Daphnia pulex: one gene and its partners. The protein of the gene in region 2 interacts with the protein of the main gene of each other region in a biochemical or structural test. Links are inferred from orthologs where the notes say so. Each region holds a gene or a part of one and is shown on either strand. Other genes may lie near its edges.

Evidence for each region.
Region 1: the proteins of E3 ubiquitin-protein ligase parkin-like (region 2) and PRKCA-binding protein-like form a complex in vitro, tested with the Homo sapiens proteins (3 studies listed by BioGRID and IntAct, with this or other methods). The link is inferred for Daphnia pulex from reciprocal best matches to the Homo sapiens genes PRKN and PICK1.
Region 3: the proteins of E3 ubiquitin-protein ligase parkin-like (region 2) and E3 ubiquitin-protein ligase NRDP1-like form a complex in vitro, tested with the Homo sapiens proteins (2 studies listed by BioGRID, with this or other methods). The link is inferred for Daphnia pulex from reciprocal best matches to the Homo sapiens genes PRKN and RNF41.

What each region holds. Positions count from the first base shown.
Region 1 is NC_060018.1:683,348-689,376, reverse strand, and holds the start of PRKCA-binding protein-like, read right to left. Parts: upstream 3,424-6,029; 5' UTR 3,177-3,423; coding exon 3,130-3,176; exon of another isoform or gene 2,690-3,129; coding exon 2,630-2,689; intron 2,430-2,629; coding exon 2,400-2,429; intron 2,130-2,399; coding exon 1,890-2,129; intron 1,324-1,889; coding exon 1,212-1,323; intron 1,132-1,211; coding exon 1,001-1,131; intron 897-1,000; coding exon 677-896; intron 545-676; coding exon 493-544; intron 377-492; coding exon 243-376; intron 75-242; coding exon 1-74. UniProt on the Homo sapiens protein: Probable adapter protein that bind to and organize the subcellular localization of a variety of membrane proteins containing some PDZ recognition sequence.
Region 2 is NC_060026.1:3,259,222-3,265,250, reverse strand, and holds E3 ubiquitin-protein ligase parkin-like, read right to left. Parts: upstream 2,908-6,029; 5' UTR 2,797-2,907; intron 2,737-2,796; 5' UTR 2,682-2,736; coding exon 2,424-2,681; intron 2,359-2,423; coding exon 2,169-2,358; intron 2,108-2,168; coding exon 1,768-2,107; intron 1,700-1,767; coding exon 1,363-1,699; intron 1,301-1,362; coding exon 1,175-1,300; intron 1,108-1,174; coding exon 1,023-1,107; intron 958-1,022; coding exon 848-957; 3' UTR 345-847; coding exon of another isoform or gene 198-344; 3' UTR 136-197; downstream 1-135. Other genes in the region: translocation protein SEC63 homolog, read left to right, coding at 1-129, 198-344; histone H3, read right to left, coding at 3,532-3,942; histone H4, read left to right, coding at 4,237-4,548; histone H2B.3, read right to left, coding at 5,234-5,605; histone H2A, read left to right, coding at 5,926-6,029. UniProt on the Homo sapiens protein: Functions within a multiprotein E3 ubiquitin ligase complex, catalyzing the covalent attachment of ubiquitin moieties onto substrate proteins. Substrates include SYT11 and VDAC1.
Region 3 is NC_060021.1:11,014,754-11,020,713, reverse strand, and holds E3 ubiquitin-protein ligase NRDP1-like, read right to left. Parts: upstream 3,842-5,960; 5' UTR 3,790-3,841; coding exon 3,700-3,789; intron 3,610-3,699; coding exon 3,467-3,609; intron 3,397-3,466; coding exon 3,240-3,396; intron 3,174-3,239; coding exon 2,886-3,173; intron 2,827-2,885; coding exon 2,551-2,826; 3' UTR 2,120-2,550; downstream 1-2,119. Other genes in the region: uncharacterized protein LOC124194673, read left to right, coding at 1-179. UniProt on the Homo sapiens protein: Acts as E3 ubiquitin-protein ligase and regulates the degradation of target proteins. Polyubiquitinates MYD88. Negatively regulates MYD88-dependent production of pro-inflammatory cytokines.

The DNA of each region.
Region 1 (6,029 bases), on a different chromosome or scaffold from region 2:
TCAGCATAGCGACCGATGGTCATCCGCGTATCTGGGATGGCTTTGTGGAGAAAAGTCCCTAAATCCGCCAGCACCTGATTTAAACATGTATGGATTGATTCAGTTAGATATGAACGGACAAAAGTTTCGCTGCTGCAGATGCTGTGGAGGGGCAGCAAGCACATCAGACAAAAGTTTTGTATCGAAGCCGGAGGCTTTTTGCTGGAAAACTCGCTCGGCGCCGGATGTTATATTAAGTATACCGGCTTGAGTTGTTTAATCATTTGGACGCCGTAGCGTTCCATTTGCCGATGGATCTCGCCAAACTTTGTGAAAACTTCGCTGGCTCGAGGCTGCAACTCGCGAACGCCGATGGTTGAAAAGATGTTGCCAAAGTCTAAGAAGACACACGACAAGAACATTCGTTTCATGAAAATTTAAGTCTCTTCTTGGACTAAGAAAAAAGTTCACTCCACTTTCAATCTTATTTCGAGTCCATTATAAAATATATACCTTTGTAAGTTTGGGAGAGGTCGTAGTAGGAGCGTAGGAGTCGCCTGGTGTGCTATATAACGAACCCAATTTTGAAAAATAATGACATCCGTGACGTGTTTGTGGAAGGAAGAACATCAACAACAACGTGACGTGAACAAGCAAATAATGATAGAATAAGACGAAGAAGGTACACGCAATATACCTCGACTAAGCCTCGGTACATTCCCTCGCAACGCTTGAGATCTTCTAGACGCTTCAACAAGCTGTCGTTGCACAAGATAGCCCTCGAAAGTCCCAGAGCGTCGGCCGTCGAGCTGGACATGTTTTCGACGAAGCGGTGCTTGACTTTCTTCAGGATCAAATCCAACGTCTTGCCCTGGGCGGGCTCTGCGTGAAGTTTGTTGTACCGGATCGTGACTGAACTACAATTTTAAAAATACCACGAAATTGAAATTCAAATTTGTTGGTTCCTTCCAAAGTACGTATATATAGTTACGCGCGGAGGAAATCTGATTATTATGATTACCTTTGGGCGGCTTGAATCATTTTAGCCACTTCGGATTTGGTTTTGCCTTTGACCGAGACGTTGTCCACTCCAATTATTTCGTCGCCACTTTGAAGTGTACCGTCTTTCGCGGCTGCAGTGTTGTCAAATATCTAAATTTACCCAACATACGAATTTTAAAAATTCCATCCGCACCGCGCCGGAAGCGCCGGATAGATTTCGGTTAATAAACCTGGACAATGTAGAGGCAAGGGCAATAAGGTGCACCTCCTCCGATGCTGATTCCAATCAAATTTGATCCGTCCTTTTCCAGAACGATGGAACCCGTCGTAATCGTCATTCCCCTGTTATACGTGATGCAAACATTCATTTTTAATTCATTTCAACGATGCGAAATGGCAGATAAATAAGTTATCGACTTGCCAGTCGATAATTTCTCAAAGCCACGTAACATCAATCATACACAATTTCAAAAGCAGAAGCAGAAGCCAGCTCAGCCAATAGAGCCCCGAAATGTAACATACATAGTAGCCTAATAATATGCACAGAGCTACTATATAGCCAATCGATCGTGAGAGCGTGATAAAAGCGTTAGAGTACACGTCAAAGACCGCAGAAAGGGCGGCCGAAATAACGAGGTCGAAAGAGTACACGACGTTGAATTAGAGACTACATGATTATACATACATCTAAAGAGCCCAAAAGTTGGAAAATGGAATAACTATTTGATGATGGGCTTTACCAGCAGCAAAACGAGCTGCTATACAGATGGCAAATAATATCGATCCTCTCTCTATTTATAGCGCACACCATTAAACTGCTGCACGCACTGCGAGGCGTATTATATATAGTCGACGACGATTCTACATTTTGCAGATTGTACAGGCGCGCACTCGGGTCGTCGACTTACTCTCGATTCTCTGGCCAGAAAAATCCACGTAGTTCGTCCTCAATGTCTTCGACCTCAAGAAGAATCATGCTAGAGGACGATTCAAGCTCGTCGGAATTAACAACGGCCGGGACAATGTCGTCGTCGTTATTAGCTGCCGCTGCTGGGCTACCATCGCAGTCGTCACGAGAGCTCTGGATATTATGACGTTCATCTGATGGACTTGTTATTGATAGGTCGTCGTCCCAGCTAACTTTATTACTACTGGCCATATCCATCATTGCCGGCGGTCCAGGTGATTTGTTGGTCGGTCACGTTTTCCCAGGTGGTCACGCACAGTTAGTTCGTGTATATCGATTTTCGTGATTTTGGTAGAAATAAGAATAGAAATATAACGTCGTTATTATCGGAGAAACAATGTCCGTTTCTGTTCGTGTGTATGGGATTATCTACTGGGATTTTTGAGCTATATAGATTATATAATATCGAACTGGTTTTATGGTTGTCTCTATCTACGTCGATGGTTTTTACCCGGTTCCGCTGTGAAAAGTCGTTTCGGGACTTTTGGATTGGAGCGCGCAAATAGAGCGAGTGAAGGCGAGTGCGTAATATTGAAGGAAATAAGGAAATAAAAAATTTAAAAAAACACATCAATCATAAAATTCATCAAGCCGTGAAAGAAAAAAAAAAGAATGCGCCGTGAGTTTTTAAAGCAAATAAAAATAAGTAACAAAAAAAAAACAAAATCAAACGAAAATTACATGGAATCTTCTTTCATGGGCAACTGGGCGGCGTAATACGGCCACATTTTGCTCTTTTCGCTGATGTGCGCGCGCGCAGCCAAATTGACTCAACGGAAATCCAACGGCCAAAAATGAAAATACAACACAGAGCGATGAAGAATGAACTGAACTGAACTGAACAAAAGGGCAGCACACAACAACACCACCGAGTTATTATTATTTTTTTCTTTTCTCTCAACACTCTTGACTATTATTCTGCCCGCAGCCAAAATAATTACACGACCAAAAGTGTTGTCAAGTGACACTTGTAGTAACTGAAATCGATGGTAAACATTTGGGGTTTTTGGGAGAACTCGAGTCGAATCGACCAGTCGGTTAACGAGTTCTTTTCATGCGACGACGTCACACACGCAATCAAACGGGAAAAAAAACCGGAAAACGTGAACGCACCGAACAAAAATAAAAATGAATGCGGAATGGATTGAGCTATAGCTACAAAAGGGAACGAATCAACTTACATCTTGTCCTCTTCGAAAAAAAAGTCTGGCTCGTAATCGGACAACATTTTGGGTGATTGTTGTTTCAGCACAGAGACGATAGAGAGAGAGAGATGCGGTTGTTTGTCAAATGACGTTACGACACATGCAGACAGCAGCAGCAGGAGAGATGCCCGGTGCTGGTCGCCACAGTTGCCACAGCTGTTTTGTGTACACCCGTATAGAAATTGTCGTCTACTCACTTACAACGGCTGGGGCCAGCACCACCAGGCTTCTCCTTCCCGTCTCGATAAGCCCAGGAAAACGGTCCCCTTATCGATCGTGTCGACTCGCTTCAAAAATCCGGCAACGCCGGACGAGCTCTGCTGGGAGTTGCGTGAAGACTGGCGGATGCGCACCCTGCGCGTCGACTCTTCTGGTTTCCCCCCTCTCTCTCATTCTCCTTGTGTCATTCAGTCGCCCCTTCAATAATGTATTATATACGCCACCCTCTTTTTTTGTCCGCTCTCCGCATTCGGCCCAGCTGAGGAAGTTATCGATTCGTCCAGCGGGAACTCTTCGGGTAGATCGTTCAAACTCTTCTGATACATAAATGAGCAGGGCTGAGTGGTTCCTCTGAACTCTTCAACACCATCCGGCAGCACCGGAATACGGCACCCAAAATAATAATGTTGCTGGATACATCCTCATCAACAGCGCAGCCCTCCACTTTGATTGGTTATATGCTGCCGCTGCGCCGTTGTTTTAATCATTTCGATACGACCGGAATTCATTGGTCGATTCAAATAACCAAACAGGAATCAATCTCGGCTGCTGCTGAATAATCAAAAGCGGCGTCGAGCTAATTGACGAGAGTGGCAACTAATCGATGATATAGAAACGCCCGCTGACGTCAACCTTTGGCAACGGGCGAACTGATTACCCCTTTTCTAGGCCCTTTTATACACACACCGGGCCAAGTCGGCAGCCAGTAGCAGCCCATAATGGTGGAACATCTCCAGTTGTGTGTACATAGTGAAGAAGAAGAGTACAAAGAGATTCATCATCATCGATCGGATGGTGGTGGGGGGGGGGGGGGCTATTTTCATAATAGAAAAGCGAACGAACGAGACGTTTCTTGTCGTCTTTTGCCAACTTTTTTTTTTATTTATTTCCGGCTAGCGGATGAAGATGAAAAGCGCCCAGCAGTCACTTGCTCGGCGCTGTTTTGTATATATAACTACTGGGCTGCTCTATGTATACATTTGATGTAGGCAAATGAAGAAAGTTTCTAGCCGCTATATAGACTCTCGGCGAGTTGATGAATAACGCCACTCAAGAAACTCGCGGGTGTAATGGGAAAAATATGAAAAGAAAGTTGGGCCGTCGTCGTGACGAGTCTAGTAGTACACACGTCACGATTTTTTTTCCCAGCAGCAGGCTACATAAGGGGAGCAGAGTTGTTGGCTAGATAGATTTTGATGATGTTGGATGCATTCAAAGTCATGTGCCAGCGCACGCCGTGTACACATCTATTACGTGGAGTGAAATAATGTAATACACTTATAGCCGTTGTCTTATGAACGGAAAGAGTCGATTCATGTGTATGGACTGGCACGGCTGAATAATGAAGAGATGACGAACCAATAACCCGAGAGAGAGCCGATGACGGCAGACTGGTTAAACAAGTTGAATAACAATGAAGACGTCAAACGAAAGTGTGAGGGCGGCGGATATGCGCTTTACTTTGGGGCTTTGGGCACGTAGCAACATCACATTTATAGTACCTATAGTAGTCTCAGTAATGATGAGTATAACATGGGTTAGATATGTCTCGAATATTGTTTTCGTGTGGGTTGGAAAAAAAAGGGGGTTCCGCTTTTTTGGCTTGTCCAGTAGTGCGCCGGCGTTGTCTATAAAAGATCTTGTGCCATGCCTATAGAGCGTCGATTCCCTCTCAACCCAATATAGTATATAGTGTGTATGTGTGTGTCTGGCCTTTTGGGTGGGGGGGCAAAAGTAACGTAAAGGGAGTGGTAGGGTGGTAGATCATCGATCCAAAAGTCTAGCAGAGATGCAGGGCCGACCCCCGACCCCGTTGTTTTGCCGAGAATAAGCCAACGCCCAACAGGGGGGGGGAACGACGACGACGACTTGATTCCGGCGGTGGTGCCGCTCTGCGCCGTTTGATTTTCTTCGATATTTCTCAATCTTCTTCTTCTTCTTCTTCTCTTTTTTGTCATTGTCATTTTTCATGGGGCTACCGTGTCAAACGCAAAGCAGAGCGGCTGCTCGGCGAGATGCCCGCGCAGCAACAGCCGGACCTGGGCGCGTCGGTCGGTGGAGGGGGGCGGTCGATGCCAGGACGACGGCGACGGCGCTGATTGCGTTTGATGCAAGAGATACCGTACACTCATACCCCCCTTGCTGTTTTGTGTGTGTGTGTGTGTGTGGGAGAGGTATATACGCGTATCTTTGGCTGGTGGTGGACTCCGTCTATAGTCGACTCGCTACTCGCTACTGGCGTTCGGATTCAACAGCGCCACCTCAACGGGTTCGGGCGCAACTTTCTCTTCTTCTTCTTCTTATCGGAACTCTGCTCGGCTTTGTTCCTCGTCGGCAACAAACCCAAAAGTGCGTTTCGCCCCCCACCGGATTCTTATCAGGTACAGAAATCTATTTGTTTTTTCAATCAGCACGTGTGTCTGTGTAGAGTGGGTGTCATTGCCACACCTATGTGTGCGAAATGGCGCAAGTGGACCACGTTTTGTTGTCTGTGTGTGTGGCGTCGAAAAATTGGCCCATCGCTTGTTATATATTTACCACATCACACGTCCTATTGTTATATGTCTCTCGTCGCAGGTGACCCCCAAACAAAAGAGGAGAGAGACAAGTGGGCGGAGATATTGACACATACAGAGAGAGAAGGAGAGAGAAAACAT
Region 2 (6,029 bases):
ACCAATCTAGTAGAGCACGAAGAAATCCAACTCAAATTCACAGCTCCGTTCAAGCCGGGATTCTACACGTTCGCCGTGTGTTTACGCTCCGATTCATATTTTGGTTTTGATCAAATGAAGGATATCAAGGTATATTCCGGCTAATTATTTTAATTTTGCTAAATAGGTTATTGATTGATTAAAATTTTAATTCACAGATGGACGTTAAAGAAGCAGAGGAGATTCCTACTGAGCATCCACAATGGGATATTTCCGATGATGAGGATGAAGAAGATAAGAACTCTGGAGGCTCCGAATCTGAATTTGCTACCGATGATGATGACGAAGAGAGTGGCAAGGACTGATTGCAGTAGAAATGAGACTTTTTTTTCACTTGCCAGAGACTTCAACATTCTGTTCATTGGGAAAAAGGATTCAATTTCATCACCGTCTTGTAAAGGCTTAAAATCTTGAAAAATTTATTTCTAGTGGGAATCTTCTGGCTTTATTTTCATTGGCTATACATATGGGTATTTATCATTCCCTATACCTCGACTGCCGATTACACAAATCTTGTCTAGGCCTTCAATCGGTGAAACACGGGATGTTTGCAATATTTTGATTGTGACAGTTGGAAAATTAAAGGCTTCTTAAGACTTCCCTAGAACAGCATTTGAATATTTCGGATAAATGATTCATTTCAATTTTCAATTAACAGATTTGTCTAGATTATTATAGGAACCAAATGTCATCAATTTCTTGACTAGTATAGCGTAAAGAAATGTACACTCTCCACCCTTATACTACCCGACACCAAGGAACCACGGTACTTTATAAAAGGGTTGATAAAGAAAGCGGAAAGGTTGTCTTATCCGAACCAGTGACTTCCCATGCACTCTCTTGTCCACTCCGTTTGACAAACCCAGCACCAATGAAATCCACACTGTTGTCGAGTACAGATCATGTGCATACAACCTCCTGTGAACAAACAAGAAATTAGCTACACCGTTAGAGAAATAATCCCAGATCATAATTTAATTTACCATCTCGCTCGGTTGGCGTTCGGCACTTTGGGCAAGGTTTTGAAGTAACACGTATGGTAACGCGACTGTCTGCATCCCACCTCGCCTAAGTAAATAATTTCATGTTACTCATTTAATCTAGAATCAAGCTCAAATGTGGATATTAGAGAAACCTGAGCAGCTCGTCCGGGATCTACAACGTACTCGGTGGTTGTCAACATGGATTGAAAGTTGTTTTCTCCATTTGTCTGACACTCGTCGATGTGATAGCCTTGTAGGCAATCGCGGCAGAACACGAACTGAGTTGCGAAAAACATTTAGACATTTTTTAACAAGGTTATATTTATGAGAATATGCTTACCTCACATCCCCCTGTGCATTGAATTCGGCGACAAGAAGGGTCCGCAAGTAAGCCCATTCCACAGCCAGGTTGTGGACAAAGCACACCACCTGTCGACATAACATATTCCTCTGCTCCAAAGTGCAGGAGTCGTTGGTACTGCTCATTTCCTAGAATTTTAAAGTGCTGGGTTCCGTCGATCAATGAGTTCTCACATCCAGCTGGACAAGGCAGGGTATAACCGATATTGGGATCGAAGACAAACCTCCTTTCGTTCAATCGAGACATACAGTATTGCTGGAAGCACTCCAAACATATCACATGAGAGTTGGTACATTGAAATACCAAAACAGGATCACTAAAGTGGGATATTAAAATAAGTTGCCAAGTTACTGAATTCTATCTTAACTTTAAAACGATTGCTACCTAATATCCATGCAGGCCAGGCACTGAACCTGTTTGAAGTTTGATTTGACGAGATTCAGAGGAAGAGTTGAGTCAGTCTCTCCTCGTGAAGGGTGATGTGCGCACTTGAAGTAGAATTCGGCCCACGAATGATCACAATCTTCCATCTGACAAGTACCACTAACTTGCTCCGGTCGTAAAACATCATCCCAGCAGCAAGGATCTCGGTCCACGGTGAAGGCACCAGCTTTGCAAAGGCTACATCGAACTCGAAGTTTACCACTTTGTATTGATTTGCATGGAAATTCACAGTAAACATAAAACTGAGCTTTCTTTTGCTTATACTCTGGAGAACTACAAGCTAAAAACGAGGAAGTTGTCAGAATTCATAAAATGATTTGGAAAACTATTTGCAGACGTACCCAGAGATTTGTGCAACAATTTCTGTTCCTCTTCAGTTAACTGCAAGTCGAGCAATGTTTCACAAAGAGGCTTGTCTTGATGAAATGGTGTATTTCTCCTATTTTTGTCTTCGGAAGAAGTTGCATCAGTTTTTTTTATGACTTTAAGTTTAACAGCATTTAGAATACTATTATGACCAAGATCACACTCCTAAAAATTTGTTGGGTAAATTAAACTTAGAATATCAACAAAAGCAATATAAGAAATTAACAAACCTCTAGTAACAAGTCATCAGCAAGACTTTTGCCAGCCAAAATAATGCTGATATCTTCAACTTTCAGACCAACTTTAGGGGCTATAAATTTCTTGATCCGAGCTACATCCCAATCTCGACTCATTTCGATAAGAAATGTTTTACCTCCTGCAGCTTTTATGTGAACAGGCAGGGTAAATTCACTTGAATCACTGGGCCAAAAAAATCTCAAAATTCTGTTCAATAATGAACGTATGAGCGACAACAGCCATTTAATCATTCTGTAGGTTTACGTGAAAAACCCAAGATTGAAGAACATTATGAAAGCGAGATATCTACGTAAAAAATGTATAATTTAAATAACCAAAAATATTTTATATTTTTATATTGCATACCGGCACGAACTGAAAATATTGTTTACGTTGGCTTCGGTTGAAATGAATTGGAACAAACGTCGTCTGCAGTCTGCTGTGAAATGGACTAGCAACAATTTCGTCATAATATTTAGTTAGTAGGTTGACGCTAGCACCTTCTCTTCGTCACTCTCATCAACAAGTCAACTTCGTCTTATTATATTTAGCAGAGTATATAAAAGGTAACGAAATTATCTGTTATTCTGGTGTTTAGTGAGATTGTGGCTTGTAGGCTTTTATGGCTCTAGAAGGTCAACTTAAACTTGTCAAACTAAAAACTGCTGTAAATTTCTAGAATAAGTAATGTCGAAAAATCCTTGATATACTTAACCTCTTTCGTAAGCCCCTCTTTTTCGGTCATACCTACACGTTTATTTACATAAGTAATTATCGAAATCCGTACTTTAACTGAAAATGACGAACCCAACAGAAGTCGACCAAATCATGTTACTGGGTTACTTTTAATTAAATTAGTTTTAGGTCTTATATAACGTTACACTTCTTATAGCAACTAACTAATTATTCTAAAATTCAACCTTGGATGAAAGAAATTTATACAACTATTAATTTCCAGAAAATTAGAAAGAAGTTGGTAATTAAACAATACTGATCTAGTTTAATCCAAGATATTGAAATGTCTGGCAGGAAAAATCTTTTCAAGCAACTAATGGTGGCCCTGAAAAGGGCCGATTGGTAAGTCAAAAGGGAAAAGGTCGCTTAGGCACGTTCACCACGAATACGACGAGCGAGCTGGATGTCTTTTGGCATGATGGTGACTCGCTTGGCGTGGATGGCGCACAAGTTGGTGTCTTCGAAAAGACCCACCAAGTAAGCCTCGCTGGCCTCCTGCAGGGCCATGACGGCCGAGCTCTGGAAACGCAAATCTGTCTTGAAATCCTGGGCGATTTCTCTGACCAAGCGCTGGAATGGCAACTTGCGGATCAGAAGCTCGGTCGACTTTTGGTAGCGACGGATCTCACGAAGGGCGACGGTGCCGGGACGATAACGATGGGGTTTCTTGACTCCTCCAGTGGCCGGGGCACTCTTGCGAGCGGCTTTGGTGGCCAACTGTTTGCGGGGCGCCTTGCCACCGGTGGATTTACGAGCAGTTTGCTTGGTACGAGCCATTTCGAGCGAGTGAAATTTCAGATGTCCTAACTAGTGAAAAGTGCTTGGTATATGTGGGGAACCTACGGACGTTGCAGAGCTAAGCGAGTTCACTGGCTAGGGATTGGTTAATTCAAAAATGGGAGGGAATAGAAAATTTATAACGGAAATCCTTTTTGTTGACAAATGATGGCTGGAGCTGAGTTCCACCAATAGGAGTTCAGCTTGAGGATCCGGTAGGGTATATATTGGGACCATAGTGAGTTTAACATAACATCATTCGATATTTTTTAAATCTCTGAAACTTATTTGAAAATGACTGGTCGCGGCAAAGGAGGAAAAGGACTCGGCAAGGGAGGCGCCAAACGTCATCGCAAAGTTTTGCGTGACAACATCCAGGGAATCACCAAGCCGGCCATCCGTCGTCTTGCCCGTCGTGGTGGTGTCAAGCGAATCTCTGGTCTCATCTACGAGGAGACCCGCGGTGTGTTGAAGGTGTTCCTTGAGAACGTGATTCGTGACGCCGTCACCTACACTGAACACGCCAAGAGGAAGACGGTGACGGCCATGGACGTCGTCTACGCATTGAAACGCCAGGGCCGCACTCTGTACGGCTTCGGCGGTTAAATTTGATTCCGATTTATTATTTTAACTCCTGACTCAATCCAATCGGCCCTTTTCAGGGCCACCATTTACTTAAAGAAAAAGATTTCTTAACCACTTTTTAAACCATATTCTTGTCGACTTTATGCTGCTACAAGAACAAAATCCTTGAATTTTGAATTAATAAGCATCATTCTTTTATTTCATCTTTGAAAGATTTGATTGACATAGCAGGTGTTGGAGCAATGCGTCCTAAAGGATCTTGTGATCTGAAACTATGTTAATCCAAATAACTCGATCGAAAAATATCGAGATGCTGTTATGTTATTGATATTGTTTTCTCAGATTTTACGCAGTATTTTTATTTTTAACTTTCATATTTAACAAAAATCTTCCTTAGTTCCTTAGTATGTAGAAGGAGTTGCTAACGGAGATAAATTTTAATATCAATCATTTTCTAAATCAAATGAATATGTAAAATCAACGCATTGAACCGGATCTGCCAAACTTAAAATTCAGCAGAAAGATAGAGAAAAGCTCTTGATCACAGTATTTCCTAACGTTCCGTCGCACTAATCAACAATATGGGTTCAGTTTAGAACTCGATTAGATAATAAATGTCAAAAGTAGTTAGATGTTTTTCCTTTCTTTAAAATTTGGTGGCCCTGAAAAGGGCCGTTTGGTTTGTAGAGAGAACAAGAGGATCACTCTACTTGGTGCTGGTGTACTTGGTCACTGCCTTGGTGCCTTCAGACACGGCGTGCTTGGCCAACTCACCGGGCAAGAGCAGACGGACGGCCGTCTGGATTTCCCGGCTGGTGATGGTCGACCGCTTGTTGTAGTGGGCGAGACGGGACGACTCTCCAGCGATGCGCTCGAAAATGTCGTTGACGAAGCTGTTCATGATGGTCATGGCTTTGGAGGAGATGCCAGTGTCGGGGTGGACCTGCTTCAACACTTTGTAGATGTAAATGGCGTAGCTCTCCTTCCTCTTGCGCTTCTTCTTCTTGTCGCCCTTGGCGATGTTCTTCTGGGCCTTGCCGGCCTTCTTCGCAGCTTTACCGCTTACTTTAGGGGGCATTCTTGGACTTGGAAATCTCAGAAAGTGAAGTCCGCTTGTCCGAATTTCTTCTTTATACTGATATCGGCTCCCCTTCACTACTTGATGGTAGCCAAAACTCTCGTCTCCAGAGACTTGCGTGTATCACGTAGGTGTTCACTCAGGGGCGGAGCTATAGAAAAGGGAAAGAATTTCGAGGCAAGTGAAGATTTACTATTGGCTACCAAAATTGTATTCTGAATCCAACTTCAAGTCCCTATATAAACGTCGATTTTTCAAATTGTATTCATCACTCGTTCCTTGATTTTAGGAACCGCGTTTTATCTACTCTCAATCCTAACATGTCTGGTCGTGGTAAAGGAGGCAAAGTCAAGGGAAAGTCAAAGACTCGTTCCAGCAGGGCCGGACTTCAATTCCCCGTCGGTCGTATCCATCGAATGCTCCG
Region 3 (5,960 bases), on a different chromosome or scaffold from region 2:
CCGATCACCTCAGCACCCACCAGCGGACGCACACGGGCGAGAAGCCCTACCGCTGCCCGCAGTGCTCCTACGCCGCCTGCCGACGCGACATGATTACCAGGCACCTCAGGACGCACACCCGCAGCGAAGACTTGGACTTGGGCCATGTCTCCGATCCACGGTGCAAAGATTCCGGATAAAAAAGAAAAATTCCGGAATGACATCCCCCCCCCGTTTTTAATAATCTGTCATTGATTGGGTGTTTTTTTTTAATTATTATTTATGTGTGTGTCTTTGCTACACATCTCGTTTGTTCTACTCGTTTCTTTTTGGCCCCTCCCACCAATAGAGAGGGTGGGGGGAATCCGGAATGGATTGCGTATGGCTAAATTCCCAATTCACATTGCGGTTGTGTGTCTAAACAAAGGCAAGAAAGATGGCGATGATGTTGTTGTTCCGTGAAAAAGATTTCATATTTGGTTTTCCTAATTCTCTTCCGAATGGAGGATTGAATAGGAAAGCGCATTCATCCGCAATTTCTTGCGGTGGAGCTTCCGTTTTCTCCATCGACAACAGCAACCAACTCTCCCAATTTGCTCCATTCCAATTCGTTGACTCGATGACCTGAGTATCTCTCTCTGTGTGTGTGTGTGTGACTTCGTCTTTCCATTTATAACCTCCACTGTTGTTGCTCTCACCATCCGCTGGTCGTGTCTTATTATGTCGCCATTTCGATTATTTGACCTTCTTCCCTCGTTTCCACTCCGCACAGACTCACGCAGTGAGTACACACACACCACACGTATTTTGATTTTCCACCTCTAATTAGCGAGTTGGATGTATTGAAAAAAAAGACAAAAAAAAAAGAGTCCCATCGACTGATTGTATCATGCTATGTATAAATTACCTGAGACTGTGTTCAAAAATTGTCACCACAGAGCCGACGACAACAACAACAACCATTTCTCCTGCTCCTCAACCCGTTTCTTTTGGTTTTTGTTGTCCTCCCAGCGTGTGTGCTGGTTGCGCGGGTCTGTGGACAAGTCGTGTCGTGATTACCCACATTATCTTTCTCTCCCTCTCTCTCTCGTGTTCGTGCTCGCGCGAGCGAGATTGAGCTCACTGGCCGTCATTATGGAGCGACGACGACGTCTTGCTGCGCTTCTTTCCTCTCCCGACCCCGCCCAATTTGAGACGAAGAATTATTGAGGTTAAAGCGACAAGGAGAAGAACAAACAAATGTGTGCTGCAGTTGCGCAGTGTGGGCTTTTTTTGATTATTTGATTTTCTTTTTTTTTTGTTCAAAACCGAACGGACCTCACAGATCAGATCCGATTGTCAGCAGATTCGGGATCGTCGGTTACCCCCCATTTTTTCCCTTCATTCTGAAACTCGCTCACCCCCCTTACAAACTTTAATTGCCGTTTGATTCACCCCCCATCTTTTATTTTCTCTCTCTCTCTCTCTAAATAGATATACAGAAGATTTTATATATTATATTATCGATTCTATTACGTCGAAACAAAAGCCAATCATTTGTCTTTTATTTTCCATGCGTGTGTGTGTGTTTCAGATTCCAGAAGCTCAGTACAAGAATTGTATATACATGTTCGCACAGACACAACAAACACAATGTAGTTTTTCTTTGACGTTTGATTTCGATCCAACCACTTTATTATTACGTCTCTCTCTCTCTCTCTATCTCTCTCTGGCTCATCGATTTTGTCCTTAATTGTGAATAACTTGTTTTGAAATCATCTCTTTAGCTTCCCGTATCATGTTGTTTCACTACCCGCCGATCCTTCCCCTCCGCCATTCGAATGGAGACGAAAACAAAGTTTCGAAAAAGAAAGAAAATCAACTTCATTAAAAAAGAGGAAGTGTTTTTGAGTGATGTGATTAAATACTCGGATGAGCATGGCTATGTGATGTAGTGCGATTACATCTCCAAAAAATCCACCCCCAACCCTCAACCCATTTCCACACTTTGAAAAAAACAAAAATGTTACATAACATGTGTGACGATGATGTGATTATAACTGAAAAGAGAGAAGAAGTAAACCCGGTTTGAAAAAGATAATAACAGAAAAATAATCGACGAAAAGATAAAAAAAAAATACACACAAACACACACTGTCTATACCATACGATTGACTTCTCAGTTATTGTTTTATTATTTATTATTCCGCAGCATCGGCGGAATATACTATCATTATTTGCACATAAAAGTTGATGATGAAAGAAAACAAGATTTTTGCCATCATTAATCAAGTATCGAACATTTACAACCGCCGAAGAGCGGGGACACCAATTGAGAAACATTTCAAATAAAAACCTACACCTAGCCCCCAAACTGAGCACGATTCAATGAAAGTAACTGATGACGATAAACAATTCGAAAAAAGATAAATCAGATTCTTTTAAGTAAGTTGAGAGGACTGCTGCTTCTGAACTAAAGGACAAAAGGGACAAATTCATTAGTGTCAGCTCGCTGGAGTGGTCCAGCCGGTCGCGAGGACACTGAAGACAAACATGTTGTTGGATTAATAATCTGACAAGAATTCCGGGGTGTCACTCTACACCGTGAGCAAAAATCATGATGAGACCCGGTTCCAATATCATATCTGGATTCATATGTCCGTTGTCGCAGGCCATGACGGCCACGGCTTGTTTGCCCGGAATCCTCCGGCAGACATAGTTCTCGTATTGACGCCGGTTCAGCTGGCGGATTTCCAACGACGACAATCCCGTCGGCCACCGCCGTTCGTGGGCGTTTTCCATCAGATCCTGGATGATGTGCGGTGGGCAACCCGATTCGGAAAGGGCTCTCTTGATCATTGCCTGCAACTTTAAAAGGTTATCGTATTTGATTGAATGTATTGAGCTCGCCAACTGTAGGATATTACCTGTAGCACCGTGTCCGGAGTCGAGATCATGCCACCCCAGCGCAGGACTCTCGCCTTGGGTAGAGTTTCGGCCCAGCGTCTCACTTCGTCGGCTTCCATCTGATCTGCCAGAATCCGCAGCGAAGGATTGGCGTTCCGCATGGCTAGCATGTAGTCCTTCAGCAGCTGCAGTTCTCGTTTCTGTTCGCTCATCTGAAATTTGCCCTCGGCTACTTCCGCCTGCACCTCAACTAGTTTCGATTGCTGGGCCTGCATCAACGAGCGCAGCTCTCGCACGCAGTTGTGTTCCTGGAAATGCAATCAACATAAATAAGGTACTATTTAAAGTTGTAACCTGTAAAACAACCCACTTACTTTCAACTCGTCTTTTGGCACAACTAGCCCACAGCCGAGCTCACATGGCACCGGTCTCTTTGGATTGAACTCACATTCTTGTACATGAGACTCCAGGGCATCTAGTTTCAATATTGCAGTGCACCCATAAACAGAGTTATCACAAGTGAGCTGTAGTCTAGAAAAATAATAGAGAAATGGTACAATTTCATACTGATAATAAGGTTTCAAACTTCCAAACCACCAACCTGTATAGTAGGTTCCGAAGTATTCTGGGAACAGGTCTCAGCTGAGGAGGGGTTATGTTTTGTCTGTCGACAGGACAAGTTGGCTGTCTCGAGAGCCACTCGTGAATGCAAGCAGAGCAAAATGCATGCTCACAGTTGGGTGCCTGAAATTACAAGTCTATTAAATCCATCACATTCCCTCTGGGGAAATTTTATTGCTACTCTCGCTTTTGGAAGCGAACTGTCATTATTACCTGTAACGGATTTTCGAGCACTGAACTACAAATTGGACACAACAATTCTTCATCAACTTCTCCTTGAAATCGATTTATTTCAATTCCCATTTTTCTTGGTTAACAAAACGGCCAAGAAAACTTTGACCTAATTAAGTAAACACACCTGCTTCTCAGTAAGAGTTCGCGTTTCTTTCTTTTTTAATAAAGGGGGAACAGAATTGACGTACCTAAATAAATGCAACAACAAGGTGTTGCAGAGCCATCGGGCGGTAGAAAAATTAAACCGTAAAACGCAGTCTGACGGTTAGGGAACGAAGTTTACATATGGAAGTGCCAACGTCACTTCTTTTCATTTCAAACCAATCCTTCAAATGCTGAACATGTAAGTTGATCAACACGTGGTTATTCTGGGTTTTCTAATTTTTTAGTTTCTCATTTAAGTTTTGAAAACGTAGTTGTAGGATATGGTTAACGCTCTTAACACAGTAATTAGCCTGAACATTTTTAATATCTATATGTGTATTGCTTTGGTAAGGTTGAAGTCTAATAAAACCGACTTTCTCTAAGAAGTATATTATAGAGAAAGAAGCCTCAGGTTGGTCTGGGGTTTCTTTGGTTAAAATGGACAAGTTTGATAATAAGTAGTTTTAAGTGAAATTCCATGTTCAGTCTGAAATCAATGTTGCAGTAACGGTCATGAGGCGAATGAAATTTCCTCTTGTCTAGTAACTAACTTGTCAATTTAAGTTGTTAATTTGCCTCATGTAGGAACAGGTTTGATTATATCTCTTAATCTGTTCATTTTAGGTTGATATCTTCAATGCCAGGAGGGATGATGGCAGATGAGTGCAAGGATCGGAAACAATTTTTGAAGGGCTGTGAGACAAATCATGCATTTAGGCTACATTGGTGCCTTGAAGACGACTAGTTTGGAAGGTAAAAACGAATTCCTATTGTATATGGGTAAATAGTCCTGATGACCCTAGGATTACAATGAAATTTAGTGTACCTAAATTAATATTTTGATTAAATCTCTATCGCAATATTCTGAAGTGTAGACCAAAGCAGTATCACACTGAAATGGTTTGTAGATTTTCATGATCAATTATGTCTAGATTGATTTCTGACCTCACTTGGTTTTGCACCGGTTGGTTGTAACCTATCTTCCAGAATTCGCTGATTTGAATGTAATCGAGGAATAAAGGTTGGTTTTCTTATCATATATGTAAAATATGCTGTTGGATTTTGCTGATGACACTCTTAGGACACCTAAATATGTACCCTGATTACTAAATGTGCTGAAAGTATCGAGTGACTTGTCGTCATTTTGGTCTAGTCCTCGCCTTAACGTTATATCGTTTTTACAGAGAAGATTCCATGCCAAGACATTTCGTGGAGGATGGATGTCGACTGTTACGGCTATGGAGCCAATGGAGGAGGTATAGTTATTTTTACATTTGCATTTGAGCCTCAGAGTCACCGGTTTAACGCACATGTAGTATTCCGGTGCTAGAGGATCTCATAAATTAAACGTCTAACCACTTATGCTCGATCTGTATTTATTGCAGAGGTTGATCACCTCGGTTTGAGACAATTTGTTTTGACTTTACAGGAAGATTTAACATTTTAATGGTGTTTATTTTTATTTTTTTGCAGGCAGTGGGTGTGCATTACACTAGATGAGATACAATCATGAAGGTGTTTGCGATTCTTAGGTAAATGGACAGTTTTAATGGTTTCTTTTGGATTTTTGTGATGAACAACAGTTTCCTGTGTTTCTGACAACCATGAAGACCCACTCGAGTCCCTGATAATTCAGGCTTTTTAATATCATTTAATCGGCTGTAAACAAATATTGACGATTTGTTTGGTTCGTTTATTCAGATTGTCTTGTTTAACAACCGCCGTCGATTGTTGAGCTACTGGGCCAAAAACTGGAGTTTCATTTTCTTTCGTTTCGAGATGCTGGTGATTTCATGATCTACGTAGTGAGTAGAGAGAATTACTTGTAATGTTTAACGTAAATTGAAATGATGAGAACGCTTAAAAGCATTTTCCGAGTTCCATGATGATTCATTCTGCCTTCCTTTTGATCTTTAACTGAGTTGACGATATCAGCGATACAAACTGATGTTATAGATTTATTTTTTTCTGTAGGTAATGTGGTATTGCTTCTTGGTCAACGTCATTGGAATCCGAGGAGTTCATTTTACACAAGGTAAATTTTTTTTAATGCGAGACTCGGCAAACAGGTTTGTTTAAGGAGACAATTGTACGCC